4 linked regions of the Drosophila melanogaster genome follow. The gene in region 1 interacts genetically with each later gene. Each region holds a gene or a part of one and is shown on either strand. Other genes may lie near its edges.

What was found.
Region 2: of Nf1 (region 1) and Alk, changing one suppresses a phenotype caused by changing the other (phenotypic suppression), as found in Drosophila melanogaster (3 studies listed by BioGRID).
Region 3: of Nf1 (region 1) and elav, changing one suppresses a phenotype caused by changing the other (phenotypic suppression), as found in Drosophila melanogaster (one study listed by BioGRID).
Region 4: of Nf1 (region 1) and Cul3, changing one enhances a phenotype caused by changing the other (phenotypic enhancement), as found in Drosophila melanogaster (one study listed by BioGRID).

What each region holds. Positions count from the first base shown.
Region 1 is NT_033777.3:25,981,473-25,986,869, reverse strand, and holds the start of Nf1 (neurofibromin 1), read right to left. Parts: upstream 3,858-5,397; 5' UTR 3,579-3,857; coding exon 3,522-3,578; intron 3,279-3,521; coding exon 3,135-3,278; intron 3,036-3,134; coding exon 2,651-3,035; intron 2,596-2,650; coding exon 2,454-2,595; intron 2,398-2,453; coding exon 1,804-2,397; intron 1,743-1,803; coding exon 1,421-1,742; intron 1,359-1,420; coding exon 806-1,358; intron 752-805; coding exon 214-751; intron 159-213; coding exon 1-158.
Region 2 is NT_033778.4:16,636,500-16,642,165, forward strand, and holds the start of Alk (anaplastic lymphoma kinase), read right to left. Parts: upstream 3,513-5,666; 5' UTR 3,247-3,512; intron 1,477-3,246; exon of another isoform or gene 1,149-1,476; intron 1-1,148.
Region 3 is NC_004354.4:520,056-525,666, reverse strand, and holds the start of elav (embryonic lethal abnormal vision), read left to right. Parts: upstream 1-2,440; 5' UTR 2,441-2,681; intron 2,682-3,970; 5' UTR 3,971-4,226; coding exon 4,227-4,227; intron 4,228-5,381; exon of another isoform or gene 5,382-5,590; intron 5,591-5,611. UniProt on the Drosophila melanogaster protein: Required for the proper development and maintenance of neurons presumably by affecting RNA metabolism.
Region 4 is NT_033779.5:15,265,099-15,272,623, forward strand, and holds Cul3 (cullin 3), read right to left. Parts: upstream 5,227-7,525; 5' UTR 4,819-5,226; coding exon 4,276-4,818; intron 4,107-4,275; coding exon 3,723-4,106; intron 3,660-3,722; coding exon 2,898-3,659; intron 2,836-2,897; coding exon 2,665-2,835; intron 2,603-2,664; coding exon 2,432-2,602; intron 2,370-2,431; coding exon 2,255-2,369; intron 2,190-2,254; coding exon 2,047-2,189; intron 1,922-2,046; coding exon 1,698-1,921; intron 1,637-1,697; coding exon 1,498-1,636; intron 1,429-1,497; coding exon 1,276-1,428; 3' UTR 931-1,275; downstream 1-930.

The sequences.
Region 1 (5,397 bases):
CGAAGAACTTCTCCACGATGGCTCTAACCTGGTCGAAGAGTATAGGATACAGTTGGGTGGACATCTCCTCGCCCACCAGTTCCTTCACATTTTTCTGAATATTAAGTCCAATTTTTTCGTTGCTGCAAACTAACAGGCGCAATAGTTGGCCCACGAATCTAAATTAAAGTTATAGGTTATATATGGGACATGTTAAAATAAATAAAACCTTACTGTGTTACAGGACAATAGCTGACATCTTGTGGCGGTGCTGGGGGAAGAGTGGATAGTGAAACCGTGCTAGGATGCAGAGAGCCATGTCCAGAACTTGTGGAGCTTGAGTAAAGAGAGTTTTGAGCAAGTGATCCCAAAGAAGCATTGTTCTGTGATTGCTGCAGCAGCATTTGACGACTGCTGCTACGTTTATGAAGGCAGACGCCACCCAAGGCTAATAGAAACCATGTCATATTGGCCCATTCATTAATTTGTTCCTCCAAATCGTGCTCTGAGCTTTGGTGACTCGCTCGCCGCTTGCCCATGCCACGATGGAAAACCTCCGCTTGGCCATCTTCTCCTTTACATTTGGGGTACGTTTGCAAAACCTTGCTGGATACTTCCCAGTTGCGGAAGGTTTCCTCCCAGGCGGGCTGAACACCATGAACACAGTGCTCGATCTTGCGCAATAGGGTCATTATGCGCTTTTGAAGTGTAAGACGGCTCAGCACATTGCCGTGCGTGTTGTCAAAAAAGCAAATGCGAGAGTCCGTTGCAGCTAAAACGAAATTATTATTAATAAAAATATGTATGATGAATTTACCAAACTCACATGTGGACAACTGAGCCAGCTCCTGGTAAATGTGGTAATTCGGCATAATAAATCCGACTGTCAATTCATCAGAACTGCAGCAAATCTCAGCCTCCTCGCATAGTAGTCCAAAACACGATAGCGATGTCAGCACCGCATCTAAATCAACACTCCACAGGTACATGAAGAAAACAACTTCCATCTTAATGTGAGCCTGCTTGCAAATGGCAATCTGACTTCCCACATGTGCATAATCCTTGTGTCGCTGAAGAAAAGTATTCCGACAGATGAGGATCTCGCGTAGCCACTTTAAGACATCAGTGTAATTGGCAATTTGGTGTTGAATGAGCTTTTGCGAGATTGAAAACAGTACTTGGGAGCTAACGTCCCAGAACGTATTGATCGGAGCCTCTGGATTCCAAACCTCTATTTTCTCCGGGGCGTGCAGAGCAAGCAGCGCCTCCATAGCCTCTTGTGCCACATCGGGCATGGTAGTTTGATGCACCAAACTAACTAAGCCGTTGATGAGCTCCAATGTGGAGCTCTGCACTTCATGTGCCACTTTTCCTTGGGTCTATATTACAAAACAATTGTTAAATATGAGACTATTATCGATCAAATTATCAAATAACTCACATTCAACAAAAGCGTGGGATCTGCATGAATTAGCCGTACGAGTAGCAGTAATAGCATTTTGTGGGCGGGACCCTCTTCAGCGCGGGTTAAACCTTTCTGGGTATCTTTAGATTTGAGCGTCAGGGAGGTTATGTAGCGCAGTGGCGTATGGGCTATATAACCCTGGGTGGCCTTGTTGAGCGTATCCGTAAACAAAGCTCGTAGCTCAGCAGAACGGTAGTGAACCACATCCGTTTGCGGCCACCAAGACAATCTCGGTTGGTTTACTATTCGAAAGGGGTTCTTGTTCTGCAAACGGAAGTCAACGTATATGTGAGCCAACCTATAATGGAAAGTATACATGTAAAAGTCAAGAGTTTTATATAGCTACCCAAGTAAATTACCTTAGCAGAGAGCACACAATTACAAAATGGTAAGCCTGCGGCGAGGACAAATTCAGGCAAACCTTTAGAGCCTCGATGTTGTGAGGATTAATCCGGAAACAAGACACCCAGCAGTCAATCATCAGCTCGATATCAGCGAAGTTGTACCCCTGACCGCGCGAAAAGGGCTTTGCTGGATTAAAGAGCAGTGCCTTGAGATCGTTGATAAAGAATTGCACCAACTTGAAGACCACATTATTGGAGTCGGTGTTGTTGATGTAGGTGGATGCTTTGCACAGCTTTACACAGGCAATTGCCGCAGATTCGGTCACCTGTTTGGATGGTGAGTGCTGGCCCAAGCCTCTCTTGATACTCTCGATGAACTGCTTGGCCGAGAAGTCCTTGTCCCGGGACGTGGATTGCGCTGACTTCGAGGCAACCTTTTCCTTGTCCTTTTCCTTCTCTTTCTCCGACTGCTGAAGTTCGTTAACAACAGCCTCAAGGCAAGAGGGATTCAATATCAGCAAGAGCATTTGAAGCGGCCAAACAAGAGTCTTGCTTTTCTTGTTTTCGGTTTTAAAGTACTCTACAAAGTCCATCAGGGGTTCCCAGCAGCTAAACGAAACAGGATCAATTAATGTGACTTTAAAAACGCTTGTAATTCCTCTTACGTTGATATATCTCGATTGGTTCCTCGTTGCAAGTCCTGGAACTCTTGTGGATGGTACTCGATCCAGTTCCAAATAGCCTTCTCCAGCGAGTAAAGCAAGATCAAAGGTGGAGCACGCTTCGATCGAAACTTTGTGATGGTTTCTGGAAACGTAAAACGTTGTTTAACCTTTCCGAAATATTAAAAAAGTTAGTTTACCTTGTAGCAGCTTGGTTAGCTTTATCATATCCATATCGATGTGTTGAATTAATTCTATGTCGTTGTAGTCCGGGTTTTCCTCGGAACAGGATGTCAGCTCTTGAATCCTGGCCGATATGCGATTGAACACCGCCGAGAAGTGATTCTGGGACAAGGCAAAGAGCACCTTGGATGCCAGGGCCTTGAGCTGGGCGGCATTCGGATTGCTGTCGCTCTGGACGTCGACAAACTGGGAGATCTCGCGCAGCAGAAGCTTCACATTCATGGCCTCTTCAAAACGTGCTGTGTCCTTGGTCTGGTTGGTCAGACAGCGTTCCAGAGTGGTCAGTATGATGACCAGCGACTCAAAGTAGCAACGCTCTGGCTCATGGCGATTTTGAAGGGCCTGCAATGAAATTTTTGTTTAAGTAATTTAATCGTATCCTAGCCCCATAAAATAAGGCAACATAGTTTAAGGGTTAACAATAGAGAATGGAGTACTTACCGCCTCATTGACCCTCTGCAGCATCTTGGTGAGACCGGATATGACAAGGGAGAAGCGGTAGCGCGATATGTGGATCAGACAGGCCACCAATTGGTCCTGGCTCATCCTGGCCTGCGTGCCATAGGCACCGATTCTGTTTGGCAGCTGAAAAAGTAAACCATTGATTGCTCAATTCCACTTCATTCATGCGGGAACCGGTGTTTTTGTTATTGTTGCTATCTCGCTCTCCCACGCATTTGATTGAGAGCTCACACTGACAGAGCGGGTGAGGCACGCACACTCGCAAGGTCGCTGTGAGCATGTGTGGGGGAGGAAGAGGCAGAGCAGCAGGTACATTTTTTCGCTTGCGAAAACGCAACTGCGGAAAAGCGATTGGAAAACACTTGCCTGATCCTCGAAACGTGCCAAAAGGGCGCTAGCCCACTCGCCTGGCTTCTGGGTCATCTTGTTGTGGTGTTTTAACAGTTGTTTATGCGTTTTTTACTGCATTTCAGCAACTAAATAGGGCAGCTTTTCGTTGAGCTTGGGGAGTGGCAATTGGTTGAGTGGCATCTTTGTTCGTTATCCTTGGTGTTTTTTTCAGTTCCTGAGACGTTCACTTCCTTCTCTTCCAACAATTTGGATGGTTTGGCTTTACAAAACGGGCACTGTTTCTTTTTTTATGGGAATTTTCTAAGGGCTTACAGGCTGTTATTTGGATGTTTATATTGTGTGTGTACCGCCTTCCATTTCTTTCACAATACCGAAACGCTTTTATAAGTGATAACAATTACATCCTATCGATATATCGCTTATTTTCAAATAGTGATGGCATCAGACCAACTAGTACTGAATTCATTAGGGTGACCATAAGCCACAAGTAAATGCGCGCGCTCACAGGAGCGTTTAAAAATTCCAAAAATATTTGGCCTTCATTTCGTTCTATCTCATTTGATGCTATTATTTTATATGGTCTAAGTGTTCCAATTAGAAATATAAATGATTTTTAAAACAGATTCAGTTCAGTAAGTATTATTAGTTTATTTAATGTTGTTGTTAATGCATTACAAATTATCAATATTAAATATTTCAGATGGTTTTGTAGCTTGGGTTTTGAGTTAATTCCGTTTGAGTGTGCCTGTTTGGCTCTGTGCAAATTATACATATTTTCCAGCAATACTTAATGTTTATAATGTTTCAGCATTTCGAGCAGTAATAGGTTCAAATCGAGTTCTATCTGTTGTAATTTAGTGTTGCGTCCAACGTTAGTTAATATTTATTCAATTGTTCTATTATTTTACGGTATAAAGTTAGTTTAGCTAGCTAAAAAACACATGTACAGTCGCATATAGGTATATATATGTATATATTTGGTTTTATTGAAAATGTTTGCGTTATTTTTCAAATAACCCTTCTTAAGCTGACAAAAATTTGAGTTTAGGCATAGGCTTATGTTACAATCGTCTTATTGGCCGTTTTTGGGAAGTGAGTTGGGTACTTTATCCAATCAATTAAAGTAAATAAAAAAGTGCTTTAAAAAGGTGAAAAATTTATATATGTGGAAAATTGTGAGCTTGCGGAAAGAGTTTCTTAAACTGTTTTGTGTATATATTTTTGATTTTACTTTGCATTCGATATATGTACGGTTTTCTCATAGATTTAAATGCAGTTATTGATATTTTTAGAGGGTTCTATTAACTTTGCAGTTTTAAGGAGTGTATACATGCACGTACATAGTTGCTATATTACTTTGTTCTAGCTGCTTAACTGGTATCTTGATTTTCTCTTGTATAAGTGGTATATGTTGGCTGCAATGGACGTTTGATGATTATTCGCTTCGAAATTATAGCATAAAGTGCTTGAAACTTAGTCTGCAGATAGCGCAAGATACAAACAGATGATCGTTGTAAATAGAATATGCTCGTATAACTAGTAAGATTTGTATTTAGCTTGCGTTGTTTCGTTATCGCATTCGATTCGATTGGTTTCGTTCTTACAGCTAAGTTTTCCTTTGAAATTGGATTTCAATGCAGTGCAATCCTGCGTTCGCGTCCTTGAGCAGGCCTGCTAACAATAAATTAGTGCTGGATAGCAGGACGGGCCTTCCCCGCCCCGCACCGCCAGCCGACTAGAGTAATAGACTAAATTTAACAATTCCTTTGGGGGCATCAGATCAGAGACTACAGCTAGGAAATGGGCATTTGTTTTAGATCAGGGATTCAAACGGGTAAACGGGTACGCCTTGAAAAAATCAAAAAAGCTGCTTGGATTTTGAATGTCCTAA
Region 2 (5,666 bases), on another chromosome or scaffold:
AGTTCAAGACACGGACAAGTGGCAGAGTTACGGGGGTTACGATGCTGAGCGAAGACCACTCGAAAATTCGAATTTGCGGGAATTTTTCATCTGGATTATAATTGGGCAAGCACCAAATAGATATACATATGTACCTATTATGAAGATCAAGTTGAAACTAAGAGTGGGTCAAACTTTTTAAATAATTTTTAGTTATACTTCTACCTTTAATCGTTAGAAATGTTGATTTCAATTCAAGTAAGGTTTATCTTATTTTGAAGCTAACTTTCTACTGCCAGGATACTATAATCGGTCCAAACTCATATCTAAAATAGATATAGCACTTAAAAAGTACTTAAAGGGTATTTCTTTAAGTTTGAAATATAACTATTATGTAAAGTTTATATAAGAGTTTTGAGAATCAAATCTATTTGTGCAGGAAACATTGGAAACAATCCATATTTATGTTATTTCAGTGTCTGTGCACATTGAGTTATTACCCGAAAACTAGTCAATTAATACAGATATTACTCGACATAATAAAAATGTTATTGTGTTCTTAACCGAAGTTTTCCAGAAATAATAAAAAGAAAATTAAACGGAAGCCACAATAATATAGTCCAAATTTCGAACTGAAGCAACAAAAGAGCGCTAGCACATGGACAGTATCCTTGGTCTGTATATCGTATTTTGCAGATACACACACATTGCCGCCATAGGAGCAGGACCAGCAACAACAACAACAACAACTACATTAGAAGGAGCGAGTGGGGGCTGCGTCAACGTCGCAAATATTGCGCTGCCCTCTGTGCCCGACTCCAATTTAGATGGCGATGGTGGCAAGGATTTGCCAGGATGCGAGACGCAGCCTCGGTATCGTTGACTGCGCAGGATACACACACACATAGGACACTCTTCGCTACTAATGGCGCAGACAAATTGTTTTGCGTATCTTACAGATACAGAGCAGCCGAGGCGCACAAAAGATACTACACAAAAAAACACACCACATACACGCACACACACACGCAAGCTTGGAAGTAACGAAATTTTTCCTGCAGCTCAACAAATTTTTCATTCGATTTTTCACTGCTCATCATTATTTCAAATTGAATGCAATGATTTCACATTTCAGTTTCGAATATGTAATCACTTTTACCATTACGCACTGATTTGTGGCTCAACCGAAATTTTCGTAAGCTCTGCTTCTCTTGAATTATGTATCTTTCGGGGAAAAATATGGTTTTTATTCGAAGAATATGAAGTTTTCAGCTACACTTTTCACGTTTCCTTTTCTTTTTCATTTGCTGCTGGTTGTGTTTGCTCTCTTTTGTAGTATTAACTTTTCTAGCACTGTTGTTGATGGTACTACATATATTGGTTTTCTTCAGATTTATCTTCTTTTTTTTTTGGGTATATCTTGTTGTTTTTTTTTGAGGCCGTCTATCCGCGATTCTGAGGGATACTTGCGCGCACGACGCTCGGCAAACGAAGACTGAAATGTGGGGAAATTCGTTAAAGCCCGGCCAGCATCCTAGGCATCGGCATCGGCATCGGCATCTCGCGTCGGTGGCTAAACGAATATCCTGCGCCTGAAATCGAGCCACAGGATACACGAGCGCACAGTTACAGATGCGTTTGGAAATTGAGGAAATTTCTTCTCCGACTCGCTGGATTTTCCACAGAGCTCACTCGTTCTCCACACATTTCAGCCAGCGAAAGCTGTTGCTGTTTCAGATTGCATGTGAAAGTGAGAAAAATGTGATGGAAACGGAAGGGGGAGGAAAGGGAGGCAGCGACAGTGGCGCACTCTGGCGGTCGGCATAAGCCGGGAAATTAATGCAAACTACTGGAAATTGAATTTAGCTCCATCAGCCGCTGCAGTGGCGAAACCCCCCTATTCCGATGGGGGGGGGGGGGGGGCGGGGTGCGATGGGCCTGCTTGTGCGTCAGTTTCAGTCGTAGCTGCGTTTCCTCTTTCAATTTGCAGTGCATTAAGGACCCCATTCTGCGCCTCCTGCGTCCTTTCGTCCGGCGATGTAATATCACCTAATCAGAGTCACGGATGCGACACAAATGCATTTATCTTGGTCCTTTTTCGCCCCTCGGAGATTGTGACGTGCTGGCTTATAAGCCGGACACTTGTAATTTAAGTAAGCCTGGTCTTAACGCAAGGTGCATTTGCCTCGCCACCAACAGGTGCCATTGGCCAGGTTTGCAAAGGCCCGACTTGCACTTCGCGGAAACCTAATTGAATTTTCTGCTTTTCAATGGTAATTTGTAAATGAAATCAAAAAAAATAAAATAATAAATGATACATGATGAAAGGTCAAATGGTTACTCGCTAAATATTGAAATGTGCACGAAGGGTTTTTGGGGTCGTTTAAAAACTTGTGTACACAATACTAGTGTACACAATCATAGATGTTTGAAATAAATCTGAATCAAATAATAAATGTTGCATAAACACTGATTAGTGTTTTCTAAACTGAAGTGTTATAAATATTTAAGTAGTAAGTACTAATTGCACAATGTTTTAGCATGCATTATAACATATAAATGTTCATAATTATCCCCAGCTAACTCTTTCCCACATTTCTAAGAAAATTCGATAATACAAAACCCTATTTTCTTTTGCAGAAATAATATTTTTATTTGGCATAAACAACATCAATTAATGACGACAACAAACGGAAATGGGCAACACAGACATAGAGCGACAAGTAAGCGAAAATTAATATAGAATCGCGCAGATAAGAGTACATGTGCAGATATATGTACGTACGTGCGATACTATATCTGTAGAACACGCTAATATATGCAAATATATTTATAAGTGTCGTCGGCAGCTGTAGGAAATCGCAGACAACAAAAAGCAATCGAAAGAAGAGAGAAGAAAAGCGGGCATGATCAGAAGAAAACTCAGCATCCACTTTGACGACTACGAGCGTGTTGAATTTTAAATTTAGTCCGAAAACGGCGGTAAAAAGTCTATATTGTGCCAAAGAATCAAGTAAATCAAATATAAACAACATCTAGCACAGTCGAGTAGACTTCCTTCTATCATTTATAAAAATATAATTGATATTTTTTGATGTTTTCCTCATTTTGGTAAAGCAAACGGGCCCGTAAAATGTTTAGGGATGCGTAAATTGGCACATAAAATATTCAGTATACGCAATTTGCATCTAGCAGATGCACTTCACTATAATATATACATATATATGTTTAAAAATAGTTTTTCGATATTTTAGGGGTAAAACTCACTCAATTTTTCGAAAGGGGAAAAGTGTGCCCGGCACGTGTCGCGGCTGAAGAAAGAGTTTATCCAACTATTTATATCACTTGGTCTTCAATTATATTCACTTAAAGCCGCGCACACGAGCGTGTATCTTGCGGATACCATTGATTTCGCTTTCAGTTTCTCGACTACGAGAACGAGAATCTATGGAATCGCGTAAATATCTGTGTAGTTCCTGTGGTGCTGCAACATCCGTTGGGCGACTGAGAGATGCGACTGTTCGATGAATACTGAATAACAGCAGGCGGCTGAGATCGGCCAGAAGCTAAAGACCGATGCGGAGGCGTCGACCGAAGAACTGGCTACCCGAACTGAGTCCATCTCATCTGGCGACTGCTGAACGAGATATATCTGCTGGTGCGTTCTTCGTGTTTATTTTTTTCTCACGGCTGCCGCATCCTTGGGTTCGTGTGTGTTTGTTTATTTGTTTTCGTCGCGACGTGTCAAGTGGTAATGCAATTGGAATTGACTTGTGCGTTTCACCAATCGCCGCGGGGATGTGGCGTCACGGCCTGGACATTGTGCAGCCTTTAGTCTGACCCCTGACCTCCGGCTGGCCTACCTGCTGTTGCTGCGACTGCTGCTGCTGCCGTTCGATGTGGCTAGTCCGATCAGCCGGAAGATTTATGTTATGTGCGCTGTGCCGCAAGGGGAGATATTTTTAGCCAGCACTGCGACTGTTTCTTTTCGCTTGGGGTAGCTGCGAAAGTAATTAATGATTCTGCGACTGAAGCTGCAATATCTGAGGCAAAACGGAAGTTCGCAAAAACGAAGCTCTGATGATCACAGTGGGACAAATCAGGCGATAATGGCACAAGTTAAAGCTGAAGGAGTTTATTTGTGTACTGGATAATGACTTTCGCTTTACATAGTTTTTAATTTCTTAGAAACATGTAAAATAATTCGTTTCTCAGAAAGAAAGTAGTTCTTGACGCGATCAAAAAATAAACTTATGAAAAATTAGTGCAAAATTGTTACCATCGTTTAATTCAATAAATAAAACACACAAGCCCAGGGAATATGTTTATTTTTAAGATATTGTATTGTATGAATTCCGTAATTCATTGTATTTTCTGTGCGGTCTGTGGTCTTTTTTTCAAGTGCCTCGAGGGTTGCCACCGCACACCGAAATACGAAGCCCTGGGCGGTCGACAGGAGGCGAACGGCGGTCCAAGGAGCGCATGTCAAGTGGTCCGATAGCCCAACTGTCAACTGTCATGGGGTAACTGTCATCCATTAGGCTTGGACATTGTTTATGTTTGGCGGCGCCTGCGCATCGGCGGGATAAACACGCGATGATGCAAACAAGTGGCTGTGGGCCACGTTGCGCTGGCCAGGATTACGGTGGTCTGGGTAGCTGGTGGCCACCACCGTCGAGGCGGATCGATGGCCGTGGGACATGCGCAGAGGCTGCGGACTCGAAAAAGGACTCCTCCTCAGAGGTAGACACGAATATTTTGGCCAGAACGCTTCTGTGCCTCGTGCAAAACGGTTCATTTCTCGTCCAGCAAAACGCTTCTGCTTTCTGTGTGGGTGTGTGTGAGTGTGCGTGTTGGCCGAATGCCTGAGTAGAGAAAAATCTAATTATTGTTAACGGCCCTCAGCTTCAGCACAGCACTTTGTTTTTTGCATTAAGAAATATTTACGGCCTGCGGCAAATCCAATTGCTCTTTTCTGGACATCAACTTTTGTGTGACTGCAAGGACGAGTGATTGTGCTCGGTGTTGCTTCTGTTGCCTTGGTTGTGTCACCAACATACACGCAAATAACACACAAGCACACATCATACACACACACACATACACACACAGCGCAATCCTTGGAGAAAAGTGAAAGTGAGACGCCCCAGCGACCCGGAAATCGGACAGCTTGGTATTTTTCGCATTTGGCGCACAACTTGGCTGGGAAAAAAAGTTAGTGGAAAACCCTCAGCTGCAAAAGTTTCAATCATTTTCCACACGTTAAACGAAATCCAATCAAATTTTACCCCCTCGCTCGACCTTCTCTTTTACTCTCTCTGATTTATGCGTGGCATATACAACATTTTCGTATTCCCTTCTTACATTTTTTGGCACACATTATACACAGCACAATTTTTTGGTATCCAAAAGCCCCGCGCCCTTCGTCTCTTTAACCTTCAGTTTCTGGCATGCTGTAAATTGTGAACTTTTCCTAATCCTTTATCGTAAACCTCTGTAAATATTTTTGAAAGTGTCTTGGCAAGCGTTTTTTTATTCCATTTTTCTTAATTTACTCGATTTTGCAATTGCAGTCGAAATGATTTAATATTAAGCTAGCAAACGGATTTAACTAATCCGTTGCTGATAACAAAAACTTTATGTGTAAAATTCAACTTACAAAAAAAAAAACAATATCTGTGGGAAGA
Region 3 (5,611 bases), on another chromosome or scaffold:
ATCCTTCTTTGCTCCTGGTCTACGAACCCGATGTCTTATGGTAATTTTATGATTATTACAATTAGATTCGGGGGAAACTGCATCTGCCGCCGTCTGCAGATCCGATTCATTTGGATTCCGTCTGCTCAATCCAGATCCATGATGGGATCATGGCCATTTGGGCATTGGTACATGGAAAGTTAAAAGCGCCCTAGGCGTTCTAATCCAACTCGTCTCAAGAAAAACGGGTGAATGCATGGAACGCTGGATCTGGTTCTGGAAGATCCGGCTAAGTCAACAAGAAATATGTAACCTCGCCATTATAGCTTTACTTTCGAAGCAGAAAATGCAATCGAGAATATCGAATGCACGCTCCAGGTTCCTATGGCTCCTAGCTTTCGGTGCAGCACAACAAATATTTGGGTTGGTTCGTTTTTCCGCCACGATTTTAAAACGCTAAGGGTGGCTTTTTCGGAGTCCCTCTCATTTGAGCCGGGAAAAAGACCAGACCCTCCCTTTCCCTCCCCAGCCACTTTCCAGCTTTGTTGTAACCTCGTGTTGTGCCTGCTTTTTAATCCCGCTTTGTTGTAACGCAGGCCATTTGCTGTTTTTGTTTTGTTTCTGGCGTGGCTAAAACGGATTATGTGACCCAACCCTTTCGATTTCGAGTCTCATTGTATTACATCCTTTTCCCAAAAATGACTAAAAAAGCGTATTGCCTATTTCTGGGGTGGACAGAATGAAACGGGGTCAGCACGTGGCCGCAAACTTGAAATACCATTATGGATCCAATAGGACTGTGAAGAGTTATTAGTGAAACATTTCGAACAAACTATTCCTTTAATTGAAATTTGCCAATTCCCCACTTAAGCATCGCATTTGCATATTTGTATGCTAACCAAACTCTCTGCGACGTCGATCTGTCTGAATCTGAATCCGCATATCTTTCGAGGGCAGCAATAGCGCCACCCCACCCCATTTCCGTTGCCACTAGCAGCGCACCACCCTTTGAAAGGACATCAAAAACCACCCCCTGCCCAAAGTTGCGTTACAATTCCCGAAGTGCAGTGCAGCGTACATAAAACATACAATGAAATCCGATAAAATTTTCTATGTCCTTTATATCCTCATAACATGCCCAACTATAAACCGAGCCAAATTCTTCTCGTGAAAAAGTTGCACACAACGCGATTTCACTGTACCTTACATTGTTCTGTAAACTGGAACAGAGCGTCCGACTGGAAGAGGCGAAGGAAAAAATCAGCACAGGGAACAGGAAGTTCACAAGGATTGGGGGTGTCCGAGGGTGGCTACATATATATGGCGATATATGGCATACAGTATGTGCATACATATACATACATATACACATATATGTATGTATGTACCATACTATGTGGCGTGTCTAGTGGCGCGAATAACGAATACAGGAGCAATGAAGCACACGAACGAAGCGAAACGAAACGAAGGGAAATATTGAAAAAGCCAGAATTGCATTACTTCAAAACTATACCGGCTCTTGGATATGGGTCCTGGGTCTCGGTTCCTTGCTTCTGGCTTTCGCTTCGTAGGGGGTGTACGAGCAATACTGCCAGGAGAAACCACCCTAGCCTTTGGCGTTGGTGGTTGATAGTGCAAAAATAATAATAACGGAAACGGAACCATAAACCCAAAACAGCCCTTACAACGCGACTGATTTGTAAGGATAATGGTCGCATGCATCATAAAACGGTTGACGACCTCGTCGGAAAGAGCCAACATTTTGCAATGATTTCCAATTGCTCCTGCTATCTAGGCCCAATGGGCCGCTAAGTACATATGAAGCATACATAGCTAAATACATATGAAGCATACATACATCGGGTTAACTATAAAACCAATGTGTTCTAGATGAGTTTGTTAATTTTACAAAGTAAGTTAGGGCTGCTCCAGTGGTTTTAAGTTGCTTAACTGGACAAGAGAACTTGGCTCTCTCCCCCATCTATCTCTTGTCTTCGGGAAAGGTAACCTCCATTTTGATCGGTTGAATTTGTATCAAAAAGCATGAAAAACTTTGAATACAGCATAAACCACTGAGAGAGCAGCCGAAAGCCAGGGGTGTATCAAAAGGGGTTCTTAGAAATATTCCACTTTGCAACGATTATAGACTCGTTTCTTATCAGACAAAACTTTCTCCACTTCTACGTGGTATTTACAGAAACAAAACTTAAGGTAAAATGTTAGGTGGCTATATATTAAAGCTATTAAAATATATTAAAGGTTTCCGGAATAACCCCCTATCTCGGCGCGCAGATACGCCCATGTCGCCACTCTTTCGCTCTCTACCTTCCACTCTCGCTCCGAACACCATTGCAACCCCGAGAGAGCTGCTCGAGAGGCAACTATGAGATATGAGAATGAGAGGTTGCTCTATGTGAAAATGGAAACCGAAACCGTCAATGCCTCAATTTCGCATTTCATTATTTCATTTCCACGCCAACCATCGTGCGCCGCGGTCTGAACGCTCCTGCCACAGAAAAAGAAAATAAAAGCAAGGAAAATTCTAATCGAATACCAAATATCGTGCTTGTGTGCTCTTTCCGCAATTGATTTTTTTTAAGTAGTGCATGACAATAACCGTTGAGTTGACTCCAACCGAAGTAACCATAACTGGAAGCTGACAACAGCCATTGGCCGGAATCTCATCTCACACCGAGCGAAATGTAAGAGTATCCCCAGGATATCCACAATTTGTGCAACTGAATGAAAGGCAATGATAACAATATCAATCAACAACTTTGAAACAGTACTTTTTTTTTGCTAATGATCGCGTCGCGCTGCATAATTGTGCAATTTACTCACTTATAATCCGCGTGTCTGCATATATCCATATGTACCTATATCTATTTTTTTGCTAGTGGGTGTGTGATGTGTGTAAGTTGTATACATTCAAACGAATATTAATAGGCAAAACAACAATATGCAATTCGATGGAGGAAAAAGCGAACCTCCCAAAGAGAGTGGCGGAGAGATGGGCGGCGGTTAGTCAGAGTGAGAGGGGGCGGCCAGTGCGGAGATAGTAGATGTGTTCAGATCTACGCCTCTGTGAGCTGTGTATCTGTAAATACTTGCTGCTCAAATTTAAATCTGTGTGTGTATGTGTGTGTGGGCTTGCGTGTGCGGGAGAGAAGAGCGCTGAGTGTTAGAGCGAGAGCCAGTTCCGAAGAGGGCGCAGCTAGCATATCGATTTTATGATTTCATGTGCAAGGAGCATTGTACGCAACAACAAACGGAGGAACACGACCAACTAACCGTTAGAAGTAGCCATTTTTTGAGCGCAGCGGAGAGGGTGGGCGAGTGTGTGTGGGTGGCGGAGTACTTGCAGTCAACAAAACGCCGGTTGCCATAAAAGCAAATGCACGCAGGCATGAATCAGACCCATGTCGTAGTAGCAATATTAAACATAGAGGATTCGCGATTCACAGCAAAGGAGTTTTTTCTCAAAAAACGACAACAATTAGTTTTTTTTTTCCCAGTGGTCGTCTGTGTTTATGCTTGTGTGGAAGAGAGCTCGAAATAGGTAGATATATACACGCGTATTTATTTATTATGTGTACATATGTGCTTGTAAAAACAATATCAGCCATACAAAGTTTGAGTCCCCTCCGCCCACCTCCTAACAACAACATCGATATCTAAATCGGTGCAGGTAAAGAGCGGTTGCTACAGGCCCAAATAACCTCTCTTCAGTAGAATTTTACCAACATCTCAAAGTATTCTCGCTGCGCCACATGTATGCGTATCTGCACGCAGATATATTTTTTGTATCGCCTGTGAAATATGAATTCAATGCTTTGGATGGGGTAAAATCGATAATATCGATTGGCGATAACAATCGCACGCACACACACAGGCCCGCAAACACGAACAACTAAAACTACAACAACAACCACCAAACCCATCGAATTTACCGCTTATAGTTTTGTTTTATTTTTGTTTTTGTCCACATCAGACGGCGACGCCAGCGTTTATTTATTAAAAACGATTACATTACAACAAACACCAAAGTCCTGGACAACCGAAGAGAGTGTGGGAGAAAATCGAAGCAGAGAGCAAGGAGGAGCGCCGTGAGAGCGCGCGCGCAAGGATTTGAGATTGCAAAGAGAACTTAGCAATTAGTTCGCTTTGTTTGTCCAGCCAAACAACAACAACAACCAACCAGCTCCCCAAAACCAACTACACACATACTCGCTCCCTAAACTAAAACAAGTGAGTATTGAAAGACGACGGGCCGAGCTGACGAGATCGCAGGACGAAAGAGAGAAAACTTTCGAAGGGTGCGGTGTCGTGTCAAGGCAACACAATCAAACCACTAATGCGGAATATTAAAAAAAAAAATTAATTTAAATCATAAGAGGTTAGCTATATTTGATATATATATGTGTGTATCCATGTACATATGTCTATGTTAGACAAGTAGCTCCTTCTTGCCGTATTGTAGTTCGGGTTATCGTTACCCGCCTCTAATTGGCTTGCCATGACGAAAGTGGGTGGTACAGGACGACGACGTGCGTGCGCGTGACCTTTTGACTCTTCCATAAGCGCCTCAATAAAAGGTGCGAGTCGGTACATACATATGTATGAGAATAGAGGATATTAAAAACTAAGAAAAGCATCCACCAAAGTAAAAACAGTAGCAACTAAAAACTTTTCAGTCTCAGCTAACCAGTCCAAACCAGCTATGTAGTTTTTAGCACGACTTTGGGAGTGTCGAATGCGTTAACTAAAGCTCAAATATATATCGAGACCCGCTGTAGTCCCTATATGCAAATCAAATTGCTACCATTTCCGCAGCGATCGCTTTTCGCGACAGCCCCCTCTCTCTGTCGCACTTAGTTCAGTGAACCAACACATTCGCTGGTTTCGTTCCGAGCAGCATCCTCTGTCTCTCTTGCTCAGCCTCTTCGCCGCCCCCTCTGCCTAAGCCTCTGTTTCTGCTGTCCGCACCCCTTACCAAGGTGTCATGTAAATGGCGGAGCCGGCTTAGGGGGTGGCAATGCCGTGCTTTTAACCCTTATCGGTGGCAAATGGCGCTCGTACATTTGGAGAAAATGCCGTTCTACGTTTCGTTTTGCTTCGTTTCGCCAAGCGAAGTATTACAACTTGTTTGACTAAGGGTGGGTCTACCGTCTATTGCTCATTTATGGTGTTTTGATGCTTTCTCAAGGGGTGCGGGCTGGTTTCTCGCATGTCCTGACCCTCTGGGTCATCCCTCTGTTCACCGCATTACATAACTGGGCGGGGTGCACAGCGCGACACACTCTTATGGAGAGAGCGCTGTAATTTGCGGAAAGGAGACGAGGGGGAGAAGGGACGCAAGAGCAGCTACAGCGCGCAGCAGTGCCAGAAAGTCCTGCGCTCGCCCCAGAAGCATCCTGTTCCTGTGACGCAGCGGATCTGGTCTCGCGTTCGCTCCACTACCTCCACTTCCTACACCTACAGTACACATATCACATGAACTTAAAACTAGTGAACGGATTAATTAAAAAGGAATCGCAAAACAAAAGCTCGCTAATCGCGCAGACACAGCAGAAGCTTAAATTCAGAAAAGTTTAGTTCTTCAGTGCCGAAGGTGTGTTTGCAGAGCTTTGAT
Region 4 (7,525 bases), on another chromosome or scaffold:
AAAATTTCGAATGATTCAGAGAATGATTATGCCAATCCTTAAGTCTTATTGCCCATCCCAAATTTTACACGATTAGCACAATATGTTGGGCACCAATTGAAAACAGTAGATTTTTTGCAGATTTAAATTGTTACCAAGTTCGTTTTATTGTACAGGCGAATAAAAGCATTTCATTGAAAATATTTTAAAATCCTTTTAAAAGATAGACAACAACTGTGTTAACGCTCATTATACGTTTTATTTATATCGATTTCTCTTTTATGTAAGAACAAAATTTATTTACAGTGTTTAGATCGCGTTTGCTTGCTTCCGTTTTCGTGCTTTCGGTTCGGCGTTAAATTGTTTTTCAAAATCAATTCTATGTGTGTCCTACTTAACTCAAATCCATTACAGAAGTGTTGCCTACATATGCCTGGAATCGATTCCCACATATCAACTAATAGATAAAACAACTTTTTCGTACAGATTATCATAATCACTTCACGTTGCTTTGGGCGTACACAAAAAATGAAGATAGAGGAATATGAATAGTCATTGCAATCCTTACGTTCTGTTCACACGCATCTCAAAACGTGGGATGAATGTTTTTATTTGGATTGAAACAGACGACGTATAAATGTACATCAAACGCTCTCTAAAATTCATAATTCATTTATAAATTTATTACTTTAGCTATATTTATAGTTATTAATATTTTCTTGCTTATATTTCTGTTGTTGCTTCTTTACCTTTTTACTCAGCTGCTTACAATTAGGGGCTGCATTATGCATTATTTCTCTTATCTTGCTTTGCGTACGATTCTTGTGGGTGGATGTGGTGTGTGTGGTTGTGGCTCTGAATGGGGTGGTGGTGGAGCAGGTGTGTATGTGGTTGTTTGGGCTTACTGCTATACACTTGTTATGCGCAAAGAAATGACCATAAACAGTAATTAGAGAATATCAAGAAATATATTAGAGGGATAATAATTATGGTGGTGCCTTATCCAATAGCATTTTTAACTGTTGAATTTTGAATGTCAGGCTTACAAAATGGGTTGCGAAACGAAATTTTACGATTCGGGGCGCACTAATTGATATATTTATGTATTCGGGTTATTGGCTGGCGGTCATCTATAATCGTGGTCAGTATCCGCCATATCAATGCCGCTCGTATGCTCAGGCCATTCCGTCCGAGCTGCAGATTGTGTTTTTCAGTTAGTGTGCAAGCCCTGGCGATTTGAAGATGAGTGTGTTCCGGATCCTGCTTAAGACGCTCCTGCTACTTTTTGTGGGCCGCTTAGGCCAAGTAGTTGTACACTTTGCGATCTTCCGGCGATCGTTGCAGATACTCGCGCTCGATTAGGCCCTCAATGCGCTTTTTGATAAACACGGGCGAGGGCAAGAAACGCGACTTTAGCTGCGACGTCACATCTGATACTAGCAAGTTGTGCTAAGAAAATAAAAACAGGAATCATGGTTAAATCACAATCCAACCAGATAGCAAACGTATAATACTTACAGCCAGACGCTTGCGGGCCTTCATTATGCGCACAATAGCCGCTTCGATCTCGTGCTTACGATCCTCGTCGACCTTTCCGCGCGTTTCCTTACGCTCTGGCTCTGATTCTCCCTTGGCGGCTACCGTTTGTATCTTCACCCTAAAATAGTTTCGATATTATTACCAGGCGCCGTTCTTTCGCACTGAAAGTAATATCTAACCTGTGGAACTTGGAGTTGAAGGCGTCGTTTACGTAAAACTCATCCGTGGGCTCAATGTCCTTAGTTTTCGTTTTAGAATTGCGTACTAACAAACGCTGAGCGGGTTTGCCCATGGACAACGATTGTAGTGCTCGGACGAGCTCCCGTTCCGGTATATCGGTCTCCTGGTGTATGTCATCGTAGGTGAGCACGTCGCGGTTATTAAACAGCAGTAGCACACACATCTAATTTTGGATTATGAAATACATGTTAAATGTTTAGTTAAATATTTTTTTCAGATCAATGAAATAAAGCTGCTTCTGCTAAATAAAATTCGGAGGTGTACGAACTAAAAGATATTTTAGCTTACCTGGTACGTGGACACTTGCAATATGTGCTTGCGTGTGGTGGTGGGCACCCCACAGCCGCTTGAACTGGAGCTGGGTGCATCTTTATCCTTTTCACTTTCAACTGCCTTGCGGCCATAAAACACAGCGTTGATATAGGCGGTTCCTATTCGAAGGGGAAGGCATAAATACAGTAGTTGCTTAAAAAAGAAGATCATTTAAGTAGCTAACCCATTTGTGGCTGTAACGTCAATTGACGTCCTGAGTGCTTATTTAGATAGAAGTTCTTGAAAATGTCAAAGGCTTCACGCGGAGCGGCGGGTATATTGCAGTTCGGAGTTGCTGTCTGTTACGGAAATTGAAGATAAGTTAACCTATTCACATAATTATGGAACAATTTAAGCTTACCTGTGTGGGCCAAAAACCAGTGGTTAGTATGCGTACCGTTAGCTCCACACCGCCAAGGGATAAATTGTTATTATTTACAAAGTTCTTAAACTCATCCATGATCGTATTGGAGACTGACATATCTTTAAACATGCCCTCTAGCTTCGAGGTGAATTGACAGCCGCATTCAGTCTGCAATAATAGAGATTAAAGCGATAAATAATTATGCTAAGATACCAAGTAACTTGACCTACCTTTAGTTTTGATATCATATTCTTCTCGAAATCATCAGAGACTGATTTGTTCAGCAGCAATCTCTTGGCTAAATGCGTCTTGTAATAGCGCTCAAAGACATCTTTCTCCAATAGGAAACGGAAGAGAACCATTGTCTTATCCAAGATGGACTCAATTTCCTGTTCGCTCATCTGTGGAAAAGTAATACACATTATTAATACATTTCAGAAAGCATATTGTAAATTCAACTCACTCCCTTGCCACCCTTTTTCAGTTTGTCATCGATGAATAGCGATAGATACTCCGGGGATTTGTTATTTAGGTTCAAGAAATGTTCAAAATCGGATGAGATGACGTTTTTGAATATGCGATCGTTGGCGAACGAGTGCACCAGAAACTGGTCGAAGCGGTCCTTGAGATCCAGCAAGTTCTGCACGAATGTTATGGGATTCGTGTTGCCGTTTTCTTCTTCCTTAACCAGCATGCGTCCTTGCTCTCGCAGATATGCCGACATTGTGTCCGCTATCACCTTGAGACCCTCCTCCTTCAGGCGCGAGAAAAGCTTATATGTGCAGGCCAGATCCTCGGTCTTTGAGTTCTTGATCATGTACACCACGCCCGAGTTCTCCATTTCAACAATGGGTCGCATGTGCTTTTTGATCAGCTCTTCTTCGACCACGCGCACAATGCGGGGCTCCGTATCCTTATCGAGATACAGCGCTGCCCGGGAAGATTCCTCCGTGATGCGCGCTTCCACTTTCTTGATGTAAACGCCAGCGTTGTTCTCGGCAAGAAAGTTCTGCGACTCGAATTTGTAAAACGCCGCCGATTGCGCAAGGAAGGGCTTTTCAAAGTCCTCTTCGTAGACAGTGCGCGAGTTAATCCCCAGGGTGATCAGCATACTGCAAGCATTCTTGATAGCCAGATGGTTAATGGCTTCGCCATGACGTTCCTCCATCACCATGCCCAGCAACTTCTCTCGCAGGGCCTTTTGAATCTCAGAATAGCGAACCACCTGGTAATGGAAAAAGCGATAAATATATTTCCAACGGAATAAATGCAATAAAGATATTCCTACCTGATCCCTGAACAAAATTAATCCCAAATTGTACACATTGTCTACCTCGCGCTGCTGCACATAAACTCTATCCATGTACATGAGTATGTCGCGGATCATCACCATAGATGTCTGGTGGTCTGTCCAGGCCTGGTTTAACTTGGGTAGGAAATTGCTGTGCAGAGCCTCCAGCACATCCGCCCGCACCTTGTGCTCCAGGTGTTCTGAGACGACCTCCCTCAGACCGTAATACAGTCTATTGCCGTGCTTATGCAGCACCATGTTGTACGCATTCCGGTAGAGTTGTTCAAACGATAGTCCGGAGTTGTTCTTTTTCTGTATCTCCTGGATAGCATTCTTTAAGCTGGCCCAAATGGTCTCCACGTACTTCTCGTCCATGGAGGCCTGGAAGAGAAATATAAGATTATTAATTTGGATAGTCAAGAACTTATTTCTCAGGGATTAAAACTTATAAATGCATAAGAGTGTAAGAGGGATATTAAGACTTTCGCTTGTTAGTAAGTTAACTAAAAGTTGAAATCCCTGTTTGGTTTTTATCAGATGGTAGGCTAACATTGAATGCCCTTCGCTTGTACTCCGGTAGCCAGAGTGGGTACTTCCGTGCTATTTCCTTAAAGCGTTTTTCTGTACTTTCTGCGCTCGCTGAAGCTGAGGTTGATGGCCCAGAGGTGGTTGCACTAGTTTCAGTTTTAACGACAGCTGGAGCAGCAGGAGCTGGAACTGGCATGGAAAGTGGCGTCGGCGTGAGCGGGTGGTTAGTATTAATTCTGTTATCAGCCCGAACTCTGCCACCGCTGGCGGCAAGGTGATAACTCCGCCGCGAGGCAGAAGCTAATCCCTGAGCGGACAATCGATTTTGGGACTGCTGGTGTTGCTGCATTGAGGAGGCGTTGGGCACATTGATGTTCATGCTTCGCGCCTGCTGTCCAAGAACGTTTTGCCTTGCAATCCGGCAAGGCACGGCAGAGTCCACATTACCGACAGTTGCGCCATTGAAGTTGTTGGAGCCGGCCACCATGCGATTGTGGTAGCGGCCGTTGGCGTTGAGGTTGTTCAGTGGCTCCGGCTGCTGTTGGCGGGGATCGCGGCCTTGCATGAGATTGCTACGCTGGTCCAGCTCACACGTCCTGTCCCGGTAGTGGCTCCTCTCTTCCTCGCTGAGTGCCAGAGAGCGAGGGGCTGGATAATAGCCCGCTGCTGAAGCCGGTGCCTGGCGAGACCGACTTTGGTTTAACGACTTAATGATGATAGCTTCAATGTCACATCCGCCGCGCGGTTCTGCTACACCTGGTCCGCTGCTCCTCCTCCTCCTCTGTGCTCCGTACTCCGGCCAGAGTTCTACTCGCGATTCGGGTCTCGCCCTTCACCCTGCTCTCCACATACAGGTGTTCACAGTCTTTTTGTGTGTGTTGTTGGTCAACAATAATTTCTCGAAAACTACGATTGAATTCGTTGTAACTTAAAAACTAAAATGTGTGTTGAAAATTCCCCTGGCCCCGGTTGGTGTTTTGATGTTTTTATTTGTTTTTGATTTTTGGTGTTTGCTTTTCATGTCGCCTGACATTTTGTGGGGAGAAATGTTTGGTGTCGCCTAACCGGTGAATTTGCTAATTGTTTTATAAAAATTATCTAACTCTTAATACCCGCAAATGGCATTATCTTATCGAAACATTTTGCAAGTTCATGATGCGATCGACAGATTTTTCGCTGCAACTCTCATCTCAACTGCAAAGCGAGTAAGGGGCTTTTCAAATGAGTATATCTCGTTTTTTAAATTCGTTTGCAAATTGCACTCAACCTTTTCAAACGCTTAATCTTAAAAATTTGAAGATCATTGTTTTTTGAACCAAAGAAATGGCATAATCTGGGATTATACAACTTGCTGTGGACAGCAAGCTCTTTCTTCATAGTGATTTCTTGGATTTGAGCTTAAAATGAAAATGTTTTTACAGTTTGTGGTTTAAACTTGTATTAGTTCCGGGTTGTCAGATAATAGATAATCTCATATTAGTTCGCTCTTAGCAATATTACACGATTAAGAGTGTGTATCGTGGTTTTAACGATGCTCCAATGTGGGTTCTTACCGGAAAGGCCCGAATGCGCATTTTGCCCTCCTTCTTGGGAGGATTTCCCCGCAGATTCATGCTTTGCAAGCGTCGGCACTGCTCCTCCACTTTATTGGCGGTTCGGACTCCGGAGCAGGGAGCTGCAAGAAGAGCAGGTGCTTCTCCGACTTTTCCGATGACGGAACCTGCTTTCCTCGGCGGCAATCAATGGTTAACACAACAAGAACACAGTTAACCTGGGTTATCCTTGGTTTATCCTGAAAGATAAGGAGAGGTGAATGGATTAGTTCTATCACAGATCTCCCAGCATGTTTACGCTACAATCCGCGTAGGGTGGTGCCGAGATGAGCATTCTGGTTTCGTATATTTGTGCAAACATTCCACGCAAATGTTAGGGTGTCAAGCGCGATGTACACAAGCAGACGTGTGTACGTACATATGTATATATATGCCCGTGTGTGTATGTCTATTTGGGGAAGCGGCTGGTTTTATTCGCGAATAGTTTGCAATTGCGGATATGTCCCGGGATACCAATCCGCCGTACTGCGTCGTCACTTCCTTTGTCGCCGCCTATATCGCAGATATCGGATATATGTGCATGTACATTGATTCGCTGGCCCATCCGATCTCTCCGCGTAAAAGAAACGGTGAAAAAAACTCACACGGCGACAATATAATTGTTATGTACATATACGTGCAATTAATACAAGAACCGTTGTTTTCGCACGCACTTCCAACCGATGATCGATAAATATACGTCCCAGGGAAGTGCATTCAATTGCTAGACGTTATCGAGCCAATGCTTCTATTTTCACTTTGTTGCTTTCTTTATTTTCTTAACGATTCTTCTATTTCACTTTGTCATGGAAAAGACGGGTTACATATGTGTGTGCGTGTGGGTGCCTGCCCGTCTCACGGTCTACGCTTGTGTGCGTATGTTTTTGTACCTGGCCTTTTGAAACGGCTTTCCACGTCGCTTTCGCACAATTTTTACTATTTCAAAATGTATTTTACCGGTGCGAATGCATTAGTAAAGTCACTACTATTATTTAGCTTGATTTGTTGCTGTTTTCAACGTTTACTTGCATTTCATATTGATTGTAGGTTTTAATAGCGATGGGCGACAAAAGTAGCATTGTTGTTGTTTTTCGAGGCGAATGGTGATAGCTATCGATAGTACTTTTCCATCGATAGTGTCAAAACCAGTTGCTCTCAACTTTATGATAAATAAAACCAGTAAAGTTAACAGGAAAGGAACTGACTTTGCATCGCACGCAACTTAAGAAAATATGTAGTTACTTTTTATTTTATTTGTTAAAGGAATATAAATATTAAATATAAAAATTAAAAGGAAAGTAACTGACTTCTTAGTACGCTTGCATCACAAGCAGAACCAGAAGAATTATTGTCACTAATTATTGATTTCTTTATTTATATAAATTAATTTTTATTTGGTAAAGATTTTATGTTCATAAATTTTGAATTTTTAAAGTACATAACATTTCCAAATATATATTTAAATTGTCTTATGTATATAATATTTTATCATAATTTATATAACATTTTTTTCCCATGTCTAGCTAACAGTGTTGCAAAATTCGTGTTGCTCTCTGTGAATGGTAGTATTTCAAAACGAAAGCCCTAAAAGTATGCTATATTTTTAAGTACGCACTGGACTTCAAATTTCAGTTAGTCCATTTCAAAAGTTTGTAATACAGATAAAAATAGTTAACTATA